Linked DNA regions of Sus scrofa. The protein of the gene in region 1 purifies or fractionates together with the protein of each later gene. This does not show direct contact. Links are inferred from orthologs where the notes say so. Each region holds a gene or a part of one and is shown on either strand. Other genes may lie near its edges.

Region 1 (3,652 bases):
CTCCCATATAGAGATATTAACAGTTATTTTTAAGTGCTCTGAAAATATTTTATTCTGAAGTCTAATAACAAAGAAAACAGCTTTTGAGAACCTATCAATTATTCTTCTACCCACGTCAGCTTACCAGTAAGTCAAAAACCTCATTGACGTCTTTCCCCCGAATTTCAATGCCATTAATCTCTAGAACTTCATCTCCTTCATGCAACAGGCCACTTTTCTCTGCAGCACCTCCTTTAACTATCCGACTAATGATGACAGAATCCATTTCATTACGAACTGTAGCACCCTAAAAAATTCAATATCCAATTTTAAAATAAAAATGCGATGTTTTGGTTAAACATTTCCTCATTTTAAAATTCTTATTTTTTTCAATTCAACAATACTAGCCTTCAGTTATCATGAGAAAAAAAATTATTTTTTACTGTTAAAAGTTTTATTGAAGTATAGTTGATTACAATGTTGTGATAATTTCTGCTGTACAACAAAGTAGATTCAGTTATACATGTAAACACCTCTATTCTCTTTCAGGTTCTTCTCCCACATAGTTTATCACAGAATACTACGTAGAGTTTTCTGTGCTACACAGCAGGTCTCTGTTAGCCAATCATTCCATATACCTCAGTGTGCATATGCCAAGCAAGAAAAAATTTATTTACACAGCTAAAGTAGTTACAGCAATTGAAAGCTGATTGTTTCCCCCACATTTTCTGCTTCAGAAGTGTTCTACTCATTAAAATTCTAAAATCAGGCTTTTCAAGCATACAACAGTATAAAAATGCACTTGCTCAAAAACAATGTGAAAGCCTATAATCAAATTTGTTCTCTATATGCTGGATGCTATTCCAATGGTTATATAATTAGTTAACATGACTTGTAAGTCTTTTTAAATTCAATATATGATGAAGCGATGAATACTGGTTAATTATCAAAATGTTAAATATTATAGCTGTCTCCAATTCACATTAAAATGTATTAGGAGTTCCCGTCGTGGCGCAGTGATTAACGAATCCGACTAGGAACCATGAGGTTGCGGGTTTGGTCCCTGCCCTTGCTCAGTGGGTTAACGATCCGGCGTTGCCGTGAGCTGTGGGGTAGGTCGCAGACGCGGCTCGGATCCTGCGTTGCTGTGGCTCTGGGGTAGGCCAGTGGCTACAGCTCCGATTGGACCCCTAGCCTGGGAACCTCCATATGCCGCGGGAGCGGCCCAAGAAATAGCAAAAAGACAAAAAAAAAAAAAAAAAAAAGTATTAAACATTAACATTTATTACACAAGTTGGAAGTAAAATTGAAATTTACACCCTCAAAAAATGGAAATATGAAATACAGAATAAAGCTTGAAAGTAGTTTCTAACACTTTTTTCCTAAATTTTATTTTAAAATTTTGTCATAATTTCCCCAATTTCTTTCTTCTCGTGGGGAAAAAAACCTAGTTACATAAACTGCCCTTTAATAGAATACAGTCCCTATTTCATGTACCACAAGACAATTTGAGACCTTAGGATTCAAGAATATTTTTCTGAAAATAAAAGAAAAGGCAATGATAGTAGACTAAGAGAAAAAAAGTTTTATATACAAAAAATATAAAATATTAACATTAGACAAAGCATACTAAATCTATGTGAAGTATGTAAGTAATTGCACTGAATGAAAAGATCAGAATCTCCAACTGTTGTCTTTTGTTTTTTAAGCTGAGAGAATAATGAAGCAGATTATCTGCGCTTTCTTTGTTCAACAATCACTGCACAAGCTATTATTTGCATCAAATTATGGGTGAGAAAAGATGAACAAATTTTTCTCAGCTGAATAAGGAGTTTGAGCAAGAACACAAAAGAATTCCAACAAATTAGCCTCAAAAGGAAAAAACTACCAGAAATGTCAAGGGTCTTCAATATCTGACATACACCAAGATCCTTGTGTAGACCCGTGGAAAGGATCTCATATCAGAGATGTGGAACACTTACCAACGGAATATCTCGAGCCTTTTCTATACGAACTATTTTTACAGTTTCTCCTCCATACTGGCCAATGCTTTCATAAACTCTCTCATCTGCAATGGGCTCTAGCTGCATTTCCTGCTCAGCAACCTTATCATGGGCCAGTAAAAGTGCCTGTTTCAAAGAAACCCACAGCATTTAAAGTAACAGCATGATTTCTGTACAAAATTTCAAACTAATCATGTAATAGTATCCTGCTCATCAAACCTTTAAAAGAAGTGCTAATTATATATTCAGATCTGTTCCCAAACTTTCCAAGTCAAGTACAACCCTGTATCTTTTATGGCTAATAATAACTAAAGATGTGTTAAGTACAATAGGGAATACTTTGAGATAAGTTACGAAAATCTAAAATGATTATTAAACTTCATAAAAACAAAATCACCTTGGGGTCCAACATCAGAGATAAAATTTATGGACAATATAACCAAAAAAGGGAGGAATTTGTAAAGAATAAAAAGTTGTTTCAAAAATTATGTGGTTAATTTTAAATTTGAAAAAAACATAATCCAACAATAATTATTATGTGATGGGAGTTGAAGACAAAACAGGCTACTTAATATCTGAGGTCTCTTTCAGCCCAAGAGACTTTGATTTGAACTGAGTTTAAAATGCTGGAAAAACTACATATATAATTCTTTGTCCATTGTCTACCTGAATATGCGGTGCATTCAGCAAAGCAGTTAATTCTTGTCCTTCCTTCTGGTGGACTGGCTTCAAAACAGTTTGTACCTAAGGAACAAAGATGATTCTTCCTAGGTTAAGAGAAATTATCACCAGCATCTACATAGGTTTTTTTTGTTTGTTTTTTTTTTAAGGTACAATTTAAAATCCTAAAAACTACTTGTAAGAAAGAAAAACACTAAAGAGAATTATAATTTTTTAAAAAAAGGTTGGGTTTTTTTTTTTTTTGGCTTTTTAGGGCCACACTTGAGGCATATGGAGGTTCCCAGGCAAGGGATCTAATTGAAGGTACAGCTGCTGGCCTACACCACAGCCACACCAGATCTGAGCCGCATCTGCAACCTACACCACAGCTCACAGCAACGCTGCATTCTTAACCATGGAGCGAGGCTAGGGATTGAACCTGAAACCTCATGGTTCCTAGTCAGATTCGTTTCTGCTACGCCACAATGGGAACTCCTAAAAAATGTATTTCTTTCTCACAGTTTTCAATCTTGTTACCATGGTTGACAATAGCATTCTTTATTTATTCCTATGAATGAGGTATTTCCTTCTTGATGATTTCTGCAAACATACTACAAAACAGACTAACAATGATTACATAAGGGAAAGACTGTTCTAATGGTTATGTTGCTATTTTATAGTTTTTAAATCATATTTATGTAACTATATTTTAAATCAGAGGTAACATTTTAAAGAGTTACAGACCAACAAGATAAATTTATATCAGAGTAATGAACAGCCACCATACTATAGTGCATCAAATTAAAACATTTCCTGAAGTCAAGCAATTCTTGCATTCCTAGGATAAACTCCACTTGATTATAATGAATTTTTTTTAAGCCCATGCTTCTTCACCTATAGAATGGTTCTTTCTCACCTGCCACAGAAGGTTCTTAAGACTGACATAATCCACATAAACTGCTTAGCACACTATATAACACAGTAAACTATTACTTTAACATATTTCTAGA
Region 2 (3,652 bases), on another chromosome or scaffold:
CGGCTCGGATCCTGTATTGCTGTGGTTCCGGCATAGGCCTGCGGCTACAGCTCTGATTAGACCCCTAGCCTGGAAACCTCCATATGTCATGGGAAGCAGCCCTAGACAAGGCAAAAAGACAAAAAAAAATAAAATAAAATACTTTCAAAAGAATTACAATACTTCTGGTAGACATAGTAATTTTCCTATGAGCAAAACTATTAGAATCTCTTTCCCTACAAGTATATAGATGTGTCAAATTGGAGTCACTGTCTTAAAAACTTTGCTCACCACACACAGGGATATTTTCCTTATGTAATTTGAAATGAACAAATTTCCAACACATGGGTTAAAAAATAGTATCAATTTCTCCTAAGAATATAAACACACAAGCTGACAAAACAAAGAGCAACACATTTTAAAGGCAAAAAGAGAGAGTGGAGGTTTCTTTTCCAACCTATAATAGGAGAAATAAAACTAAATATTCCCATGACAAGATATAACTTTACCTGGGCCATCTGTTGCATGATAGAGCTAAAATCTTCATTTCCCAACTTTGTGGTCCAAGGAAATAACCCAGATACACTCTGGTTATTAGTGGACCTGTGGGCATTCCCACTAGTACTGGCACCATCCGTGAATACCAATAACCCTTTCCTAGAAAAATCAAAGTTGGCTGTACAATCTGAGGGAATATGGCTGAGCTGTTGGGGGGAAAAAAAAAGAGAATTATCAACAGAAACCTATAGACAAAAAAAATTCTATTTATTAAATACTATATTTTGTACATCACATGTATAATTGCATGCTAAATATATACATGTGAAAGAAATAAGATACAGATCCATGAATCTGTGTTTATAAGGCTATAAATTTTTTATTTAGTATTACACAAAACGTTTAATAGCTTAAAATTTGTTGTTTCCTGCCTTTTACCATTACCTCAAGTTAACAGCGTATTCGACAGCTCATTATACTTCACATACAGATACATCCAGTCATATAAAGATGCATGTAAGACACTGAGCCCTTTTGCATTTATCTATATATTTCCACTGGGGAGTCACAAGAGATCTGCAGGTGGTATGTAACAAAAATAACTCAGTATTTATTAAGTGCTTGCTATGAACAAAGTACTAAACCAAAACTCGTACATTGTCTCACTCAATGCTTACATCAGCCCTAGGAGATGTTCCTATTTCATTTTGTGAACATGAAAATTGAGGCACATGGGGATTAGTAACTTGCCTAAGATTAGTAGCAAATGAGTTGTAGAGCCACTTAAACACTCCTAAGGCAGGGGTGAGGTAGGGTGGTGGAATCCAGTAATTATGCAAAGAGGAAAATAGAGGTTAATTTTTAAAATATCTTTGGCTGATACAAGTGCCAACACAATGAAATAAAGATTAACATCAAGAACAAATGTCAAGGAGTTCCCATTGTGGCTCCATGGGTTAAGAACCCAACTAGTATCCATGAGAATGTAGGTTCGATCCCTGGCCTTGCTCAGTGGGTTAAAGGATCGGTCGTTGCCGTGAGCTTGTAGCGTAGGTCACAGATGCGGCTCAGATCCAGTATTGCTGTGGCTGGGTTAAAGGGTGGCAGCTGCAGCTCTAATTTGACCCCTAGCCCAGGGAACTTCCATATGCCACAGGTGCAGCCTTGGAAGGAAGGAAGGGACAATGTCCTCGCCAAAAAAAAAAAAAAAAAAAAATGTCAATAGCACCTCAAAGAAAAAAATCAACACACAGAGAAACTCCATGATAGGGCACTGATAGGAAAAAATCATGGGGATTTTATAGCTGAATGGATAAAATATGATTATGTATATAACAATGCAAACTATATAAGAGATTGTTATGAGGCAGTAGTTAGTTAGGTCCACTCTGAGTCCAGTAAGAGGGGTAGATTTATAGTGCTCTTTCTCACTTTCTATTGCCATAGCATCCACTGTTGTGATGTACTCATTCTATGATCAGAGAATAAAGAAAATGAAACTTCAATACAGGGAGTGCTAAAATTAGAGAAAGAAATTCACAGAAAGACATATGTGCAGAATTCAATCCTTAATTAGCTACATAAAAATCACTTGCTAAATATTTATGGATAGGCATTTTGGTTTATCAGAAAATAGCACTTTTTCCCAAACTTTGTTAATTTTCATTTAACAACTCTGCTACATCATCTTCAATTGCATTGAAAATTCATGCCCAGGAGTTCCCGTCATGGCACAGCAGAGACGAATCCGACTAGGAACCATGAGGTTGCGGGTTCAATCCCTGGCCTCGCTTAGTGAGTTAAGGATCTGATGCTGCCGTGAGCTATGGTGTAGGTCACAGACGTGGCTTGGATCTGGCATTGCTATGGCGTAGGCCAGCAGCTGTAGCTCTGATTCAACCCCTAGCCTAGGAATCTACATATGCCACAGGTACGGCCCTAAAAAGCAAAAAGTAATAATAACAGAAATAAACAAATAAAATTCTGCCCATATTTAACCTATAGGATAGCTACTATTCAAGCTCTGATTCTGCCATCCCTGACCCCAAAAGACCGTCAACAAGAGGACAGTTAAAACTCTTAATTTACATCATTCCAAACAGAGGTGTTAGGTGTCCCAAAATTCAGCAACCATGTATTAGTGGCTGCAAGAGCCCAGGTAGTGGGGGAAACCGAAAAATAGGGAAACACTGGGTACACCGCTATCAGGGGCTTTCTAATCACAACATGCATGGCATCTGATATTTATTAGATAAATATTTGATAATTATTCAAAGGTATAAATATGTAATGTCCTATAAGGACATGATCACTTCATGCTAGAAAAAAGATTTCCTGAAGAAAATATATTTAAGCTAAACACTATTTTATTATTTTGAAGAAAATGTTGAGATCTCTATGTACCTGACCTTTACTTAAGAAACCATATTCCAAAGCCAAACATAAAATTTATTATCAACGTTTTTAAACATTTATCAGCATTTTTAAACTACCCATGCCAATGCTACCCACAGGTTACAAGTCCTAATAATCTCTTTGCTGAATTGAGAGTAGAGACAATTTGTATCTATCTCCTTCTATCTTTCTTTGCTGCTTTGAGTGTATCAACATATAAAACCCTGAGGGTAACTTACTTGCCCCTTCAGCTGCTTGATGGACTGCTGGAGTGTGAGTATCTGGTTGAAGAGAGGGCTCTTTAGTGTCTCATAAAACAGAGACAACTTCTCATTCTGCGAAGTGTCACCTTTCTCCTGCAGTTTCATTTTCAAGCGATCGAGAACTTGCAGGACCTGCAGTTTATCTTGTGTGAAGAAAGATAATCAGAGTATAGGTTAAATCCCATTTTAACTTCCATTTTTGAATAATGAATTAATTTAGTGATAGGAGGATATGTCTAGTATACCTGTAGCAGGATTTTCAGGCATTTTGAATTATTGCCTCCAATCACTTAAACTGAAAACACCTAAAGAAAAAAATTGAATACAAAACATGATTTTTCATTAGTGTATAAGCCTATCATCCTATAATAAAATTACAGAAAACCTTAAGAACATTCTCCATCAGAAGACTTTACTCAGGAAATTCAAATCAAACCACGATGAGCTGCCACTACACAGCCACTAAGATGGCTAAAACTACAGAGCCGAACAGAGAATATGAAGTCTTGGCAAAGATG

Evidence for each region. The genes of interacting proteins can lie anywhere in the genome.
Region 2: the proteins of MPP5 (region 1) and PATJ purify together in Homo sapiens (co-immunoprecipitation; 5 studies listed by BioGRID and IntAct, counting the BioPlex papers as one, with this or other methods). This does not show direct contact. The link is inferred for Sus scrofa from reciprocal best matches to the Homo sapiens genes PALS1 and PATJ.

What each region holds. Positions count from the first base shown.
Region 1 is NC_010449.5:91,010,891-91,014,542, reverse strand, and holds part of MPP5 (MAGUK p55 subfamily member 5), read right to left. Parts: intron 2,727-3,652; coding exon 2,649-2,726; intron 2,109-2,648; coding exon 1,962-2,108; intron 287-1,961; coding exon 125-286; intron 1-124. UniProt on the Homo sapiens protein: Plays a role in tight junction biogenesis and in the establishment of cell polarity in epithelial cells.
Region 2 is NC_010448.4:150,588,511-150,592,162, forward strand, and holds part of PATJ (inaD-like protein), read right to left. Parts: intron 3,440-3,652; 5' UTR 3,402-3,439; coding exon 3,380-3,401; intron 3,278-3,379; coding exon 3,111-3,277; intron 684-3,110; coding exon 489-683; intron 1-488.